Coturnix japonica: one gene and its partner. The protein of the gene in region 1 interacts with the protein of each later gene in a pairwise test. Links are inferred from orthologs where the notes say so. Each region holds a gene or a part of one and is shown in the gene's direction. Other genes may lie near its edges.

What was found. The genes of interacting proteins can lie anywhere in the genome.
Region 2: the proteins of BYSL (region 1) and STX11 interact in binary tests that used the Homo sapiens proteins (3 or more experiments, as listed by UniProt). The two-hybrid records come from large-scale screens. The link is inferred for Coturnix japonica from reciprocal best matches to the Homo sapiens genes BYSL and STX11.

The regions. Positions count from the first base shown.
Region 1 is NC_029541.1:4,735,852-4,739,857, forward strand, and holds BYSL (bystin), read left to right. Parts: upstream 1-1,204; coding exon 1,205-1,590; intron 1,591-1,671; coding exon 1,672-1,810; intron 1,811-2,017; coding exon 2,018-2,151; intron 2,152-2,337; coding exon 2,338-2,498; intron 2,499-2,703; coding exon 2,704-2,806; intron 2,807-2,937; coding exon 2,938-3,286; 3' UTR 3,287-3,552; downstream 3,553-4,006. Other genes in the region: MED20 (mediator of RNA polymerase II transcription subunit 20), read right to left, coding at 383-636, 801-952, 1,097-1,206. UniProt on the Homo sapiens protein: Required for processing of 20S pre-rRNA precursor and biogenesis of 40S ribosomal subunits. May be required for trophinin-dependent regulation of cell adhesion during implantation of human embryos.
Region 2 is NC_029518.1:41,283,854-41,286,786, forward strand, and holds the end of STX11 (syntaxin-11), read left to right. Parts: coding exon 1-203; 3' UTR 204-2,429; downstream 2,430-2,933. UniProt on the Homo sapiens protein: SNARE that acts to regulate protein transport between late endosomes and the trans-Golgi network.

The DNA.
Region 1 (4,006 bases):
TATGAAGCAAAACCAAGGCATTTCTCAATCCCATCCCTGTTAGCTCGGAACACCTGCCTGGGTAGATGCGCCATCATTATTAATTACAGACCAGTTAATAGGATTTGTGTGTTTAGGGAAACACATGCTCAGATTTTACAAGACCTTTCAGCACCTCATCTCAGATCTGGGGCAGCACTGACAGCACAGAGCTCTGTGACCAGGAGAAAGCAGCTTTAGAGCCAAAGCTGCAGCAGGAGGGCATTGAATGCATTAATACAACCTGCCAGCAACGAGTAACACAGATGATACATGGAAGGGATGGGGACTCAAGGTTTCTAGCCAAGCCTCCAACATGGGATTTCCCTGCCCTGGATTTCATACCCTTAAAGGTGATTCTCACCTCCACGGATATCCCGCGGGCGCTGGGGCCCATGGTGACGGTTCCCACCTTGACCAGGAAGTCGCAGTACTGGTACCGCGTGCCCCGGCTCTCGATCTTGTTTGCCTTGGCGTTCTGGAAGAATCCCTTCAGCTTCACCATCAACGTGTCGAAGTTGGCGTCCGCGATCAGGCAGGGCCCGTTTTCAAACAGAGCGAAGCAGCTGAGGGGATACTCGGAGTTGTGCATCACGTACATCAGTTTGCCCGTCTGCCCTGAAAGAAAAGCAGCGTTTGGCCCGTTCCTTTGACACCCACCCTTTAAACATTCGTATGGGTTGATAAGCGCCCCCAGCCCCTCTCAGCCTTCTCCTCTCCATGCTGACCAGCCCAGCAGATGCCCCATGTCCGCACTACACCCGCCCCCCCCGGGTTCCCACCTTGGCTGCTGATGGCGGCTGCCGTGTGATACGTCTCACAGTCCACCCCGAACGCTCCGTGTTTCTCGGCTCCCAGCAGCTCCAGCTTCTTGCTCAGCAGCTCCACGGTTTGCTGCACGCTCTTACCCTCCAACACGGGCACCTGCGTCACGCTGCGGGGCGACAAACAGCAAAAATGGCCGCGGGGCCTCCACAAAACCCAAACCCAAACCCAGCCCCAACCCCATCACCCCATCACCCCATCCATCACCCCATCCATCACCCCATCCATCACCCCATCCCCACCGGCCCCTCACCAGGTCACCCCCATGGCTCCGTCCCGGCAGTGGCGGTGCCGGTACCGGAAGGGGCGGGGCTGGCCGTGCTGGCGCCGGCGCGTCTGATCGCGTGTCGCTGTTGCGGCCATGCCGAAGGCGGCGCGTGTGGCGGAGCCGCTGCACGAGCAGATCCTGCGGGCTGCGGCCCCCACGGTGCGGAACCGGCGGGCGCGGGACGCGGGGCGCGATGCGGAGGAACGGGACGGCGGATACGTGGGGCCGCGGTTGTCCCGGCGCATCCTGCGGGAGGCCCGGAGGCAGCAGGAGGAGCTGGAGGCCGAGCACGGCCCCGGGGCGCCCGCACCGACAGCCCCGAGCGGGCGCGGGTCGGAGGAGGACGATGAGGACGAGGAGTGGCCGTCACTGCAGCGGGCGGCGGAGTGGGACGGGACGGGCGGCGGGGGGGACGTGCAGGTGGATCCCGAGGACGAGAAGGCCCTGGAGATGTTCATGAACCGCGCGGCGCCGCTCAGGTACCGGAGGAGGGGTGGGAATGGGCGGGGGGTGGACGGGGAGCTCCGGTTCCCCATCACCGACCCCTGCCGCCCCCCCAGGCGGACGCTGGCGGATGTGATCATGGAGAAGATCACGGAGAAGCAGACGGAGGTGCAGACGGCGCTGTCCGAGCTGTCGGGCCGCCCCATGCCCCAGCTCGACCCCCGCGTGATAGAGGTGTACAGAGGCGTCAGAGAGGTGAGGGCACTGCGGCCCCCCCGGCCCCACACACACCTTTGTGGGACCCCCCAGCTCCCGGCGGAGCAGTGCAGACAGCACTGCTGTGTCCCTCGGGTGTTGTGAGCACATACGTGCTGTGTGAGCACACGCAGTGGAGCTGCACAGGGAGCAGACAGGTTGCTTACAGCCTTGAGACAAACCCTTCCCCCTCTGCTTCCATTGAAGGTGCTGTCCAAATACAGGAGTGGGAAGCTCCCCAAGGCATTTAAAATCATTCCTGCCCTGTCCAACTGGGAGCAGATCCTCTACATCACGGAGCCCGAGACGTGGACGGCAGCAGCGATGTACCAGGCCACGAGGTGGGACCAGCTCAGTGTGCTCTGAGCTGTTGTTTTCTCCTTGTAATGGAACGAGATGGACAAAATACCATCGTGTGTCCTACAGCTGCTCCTCCTGCCCTGTGCCTGTGGAGCAGAGGGGATCCTGATGCTGGGGGTGGATGGCTCTGGAGTCACAGCTCACTCTTCATGCTTTGCATTTCACAGGATATTTTCATCCAACCTGAAGGAGAGGATGGCCCAGAGGTTCTACAACCTGGTGCTGCTGCCACGGGTCAGAGATGATATCGCTGAGTATAAGCGCCTCAACTTCCACCTCTACATGGCTTTGAAGAAGGCTCTGTTCAAGCCAGGAGCCTGGTTCAAAGGTAGGGGCTCCCTGCAGGGCTGCACTCCACCCCTGGGAACCTGCTGCAGGGCAGGGCAGGGGGAGGAAGGTGGAAAGGTGCCCATGATGCAGAGATGTTATTTCCTTGGGTTAAATGTGCCCTGAGAGAGCAGAGATTGAGCCTCACACCCCACAGCTCTGCCTGCTGCAATGACCAGTGGTGCCCAGCTCTTCTCTCCCCACAGGGATCCTCATCCCCCTGTGTGAATCGGGGACCTGCACACTGCGGGAGGCCATTATCATCGGCAGCATCCTCACCAAGTGCTCCATCCCTGTCCTGCACTCCAGGTAATGCACTGGGGCAGTCACTGCCCCTCAGCCCATCCAACAGCTCAGAGTGGGGGAGCTTTGCTCAGGGCTGATTCAAAGCCGTCCTTTTTGTGCCCTGCCCTCACCTGCTGCTCCCCTTGTCCCCACAGTGCAGCCATGCTGAAGATTGCTGAGATGCCATATAACGGTGCCAACAGTATCTTCCTGCGGCTGCTCATCGACAAGAAGTACGCGCTGCCGTTCCGTGTGGTGGATGCCCTGGTCTTCCATTTCTTGGCCTTCCGCACAGACCAGCGCACGCTGCCCGTGCTGTGGCACCAGAGCTTCCTGGCTCTTGCCCAGCGCTACAAGGAGGACCTGTCCTCGGAGCAGAAGGAAGCTCTGCTCGAGCTGCTCAAGTTCCACAGCCACCCACAGATCTCAGCCGAGATCCGCAGGGAGCTGGTGAACTCCAAGACACGGGACGTGGAGGGGCAGGAGCCGGCAGTGATGGAGTGAGGGGAGGAAGGAAGGAAGCACCACAGCCTGGCCTGGCTCCTGGGGGCTGCTGCACAGCTGGGAGCAGCACGTCCAGGGGTCTGGGAGCATCCAGCCCTGGGATCCCACTGCTCATGGTGCTGTAACCACGGGGCTGGGCTGGGCTCCCTGCGCTGCTTGTGTCAGGGCAGCCCTACAGCCCTGGCACCCAGGACAGCAGTAGGGCTTGTCCTGCTCCTGTTCTGGAAAATAAAGCCCGTGCTGGGTCCTTCCTGGAGCAGCTCTGACCTGCAGTTGCATCTTTGTGTGGCTGCATCCGTGCATCGTCCTGCCCTGTCCCCCTCCCCTCGTCCTGTCCCCAGCAGGGGGCAGAGCAAAGCCACCAACAGCGGCTCCTTGCAGCACTGCGCTGCAGCTGTCCCGGCTGCAAAAGGAGACCAGGGGCTGTGCAACTCCCTGCCCTCCTTGTGCTCTGGTCAGCAGCGAGCACGTTCCCAACTGTGCTGTGCATTAAGCAGCCTCTGTGATGTTGGGCAGAGGGGCTGGGGTTAAACATCTTCCTGTGAGAGGTGGGGGCAAGGGGCAAGGCCATAACCCACACGTGGCAGCTGCCTTGAAGTGCCACCTCTGCTGTAAAATCCAGCGGGGCATCGCACAAGGCTCCGCGCTTACCTGGGTGCTCACCTGGACACTACAGCTCCTGCAGATGTCCAGCTCCTGTCCTTGCTCCTGGAAGCATCA
Region 2 (2,933 bases), on another chromosome or scaffold:
AGGAGATTCACGAGCTCTTTCTGCAGGTGGCCCTGCTAGTGGAAGAACAGGCAGACACCTTTGACGTCATTGAGATAAACGTGCAGAATGTTGAGGACTATGTAGGAGAATCCAAAGAGCAAATAAAAAAAGCATTAGAATACAGAAGAAAACACCCCCTCATGACAATCCTCTGCTGCTGCATTTCGTTTTGCAAAAGGTGATGATCCTACTGAAGCAATCGTGGACCAACTTGAATGTTTTCAAATCAGATATTCTTTTCAGTGATTTTTCTTTAATGACAACGCCCATAATTGTGGGCACTGTTGTGCAGTTTGTTTTGTTTGGTAGCATGTTCCTAAATGTGCTGAAAAATTGCTCTATTTATGGCCTACTGGAAGTGTTGATAAAACTATTTTAAACTATTTTTAATTGAAATGCACTCTCTTACTGTAACTGGAGGTGCAAGGACTCAGAAGATTGCTGTGCAATGATACTTGTTCCAGTCAATAAAGAGGAATGAAGGACAGGCTAAGAGCCCTAGGGAAAACAACAAATTTCAAGAGGTTATTTTGTTCTTATGAGTCAAAGTGGTCTGCAGGCAGTGCATGCTTAATGCCTGTGGTGACAGAATACACCACAGAATCCAGAGATTGGAATTCTAACTAGTTTAGGGCCTGCTTGATGCAAATACTTGAAGAGACTTTTGCTCTGCTTGTGCAACAAAATACTGAGCCTGGTACCAGGAGCAGGATGCAAAACTAGCTTCTGTTTCAACTTTATTTCCATCTGTCACTGGTCTTAACAGAAGTAAGCTGCACCTTAAAGCGTAACAGGCATGTTTTGCTGTTTGTGTTCAGGTGACTGTTTGTCTCCATTTTGAGTGCCCACAACTGCAACACGGAGCCATCACATTGACTCTTTTTAAATTGAGCCACTGAAGATCTTAACTTAAAAACTGCCATACTTTTAGGTTTCAAATACATGCTTCTGCCAATTGATGTATCAGACAGCAAAAGAGATGCATGCAGATGCCCTCTGTGGAAGCACGTGTAAGAAGACAACAGCTGGGAGACAAAGAAAGCATTTTAGTCTCCTGTGGTGTCACATCCCCACAAGCAGTTTTAGTGGAAGGATTACCCCATCAACAGACTTTTAATAAGCATTGATTTTAATTTGGAGTTTTTATATGTATTTTAATAGCATGAAGGATTACATTTATTAACATTCAGTTTTACTGGTTTACAAAAGTTAAGGATTTTCTCTCATCATTAGAAAATCTCTTCTGGGGAAAGAAAAATCCAGGTGTATTCTTCATCTTCTGCACCTGAAGAATAAACAACATTTTTATGTCATTTCAGTGCCCTTTTCAAGCTTAAAAATAATCTTTCCTTTTGTGTAAGCTTGCCCATAGTTGGTTTGACAGATGAGGAGGGAATAGAACATTTGCAGCCCTGGAAACCACCGAGCATTGTCAGTGAAAGATGTATTCATAAGGTCTGGAGAGTGATTATAGCTGGAAGTTTTCCAACTCTAATATTTCTAGGTGACTTCCTGTTACACTGTGATCTATTGGTATCCTTTGAATTAATGCAGGACATTTTTTCAGAAGTTAGTGACTTTTTTTTTTTTTGTTTTAAATAATTCTTGTCGTATTTATAGCTGTTTTAACAACCATATTTAAGCATTTCAAGTATTTTGTATTTAGAATTTCTGTCTAAATGTGCAGAGTCATCTTGTCAATCACAATGAAGTTTTTCTCTTCTGAACTTTTGCACACTAATTTTATACGTTAAAAAAATACCCAAACATTTCGTACTGTTTATATTGATACATAACAAAACAACAATAGAAATTCAGCTTCCAAGCTTTTATATCCTTGTGGGAAATGCTTCTGTGCCAGATGAGCTTTTTACACAAAGAGAAGCTAAACAGATAACAGTTTTCAGATACAGGAAATCCCTTTAGCTGAAGTGCCTGTCTGTGGTAACATGGAAGCATGAAGAACACTGGTCTTCTAAACTAGAAGATATTTTGATATTAAGTGATGTCTTGATGATATCAGTATTACGCTTGCTTGAGAGTCTCTCAAACAACCCAGTATTCAAAGTTGAAGCGGGAGAAAAAAGAGCGGAGGTTGAGCTGGCACCGTCATTTGACTGCTTTGGTGCTACTCAAGAAGACAGAAGTCATTTATTCCATTTGTATTGACATTCAAGTCAGTGGAACTGCGTTTGTAGAGAAATACCCTAAGGAGCCAACAATACGTGGATGTAAATCAGTGGGAATTAAAATATGTATTTCATTTTGTCCTCATATTCTTAACAGTTAACAATGCTTTTGATAAAAATATGTACCTGCTTTTGATAGAAATATGTACCTGTGGTTTCCTTTTTGCACATGTGTATGTCCACAAAGGCAATAAAATATTTAGTAAGAAAAACTGAAAATGCAGAGTATCGTGCGTTGAGTCAACAGCTCTGAATAGTTGCTCACATAGTCAAAGTTTTGTTTAAAAGCTTCTGGACTAAAGTGTAAATTAATGGTAGAAGATTAATGTCTAAAAGAATGTCCTCAGAGTATTTGTTGCCATGGTAAATCAAGTATATTTTGTATTGAGATGGACTTATTATAATTTTTCCTATTGAAAACAAGTATGAGTTTCATACATTCTAAGACTATTCTCTGCTGCGAGAAAAAAATACAAATTTATTCTGACAGTTCTGAAATATCTTGATGATTTTGTTATTAGAGATATAAAGCTTATATTCAAATCTTCAGTCGGGTTTGAGGCACCGAGGAAGAGAGCAAGAGCATGAGGACAAAGGTAATTAAAGTCCTTGACTTCAGGCTGTTGCTGTGGGGAAGAAACTAAGAATCACTGAAATCAGTTTGGTACTCATAAAACCATCTCTCAGTTGCATTGTGAATTAGAGGCATTTGAAAAGCTACTC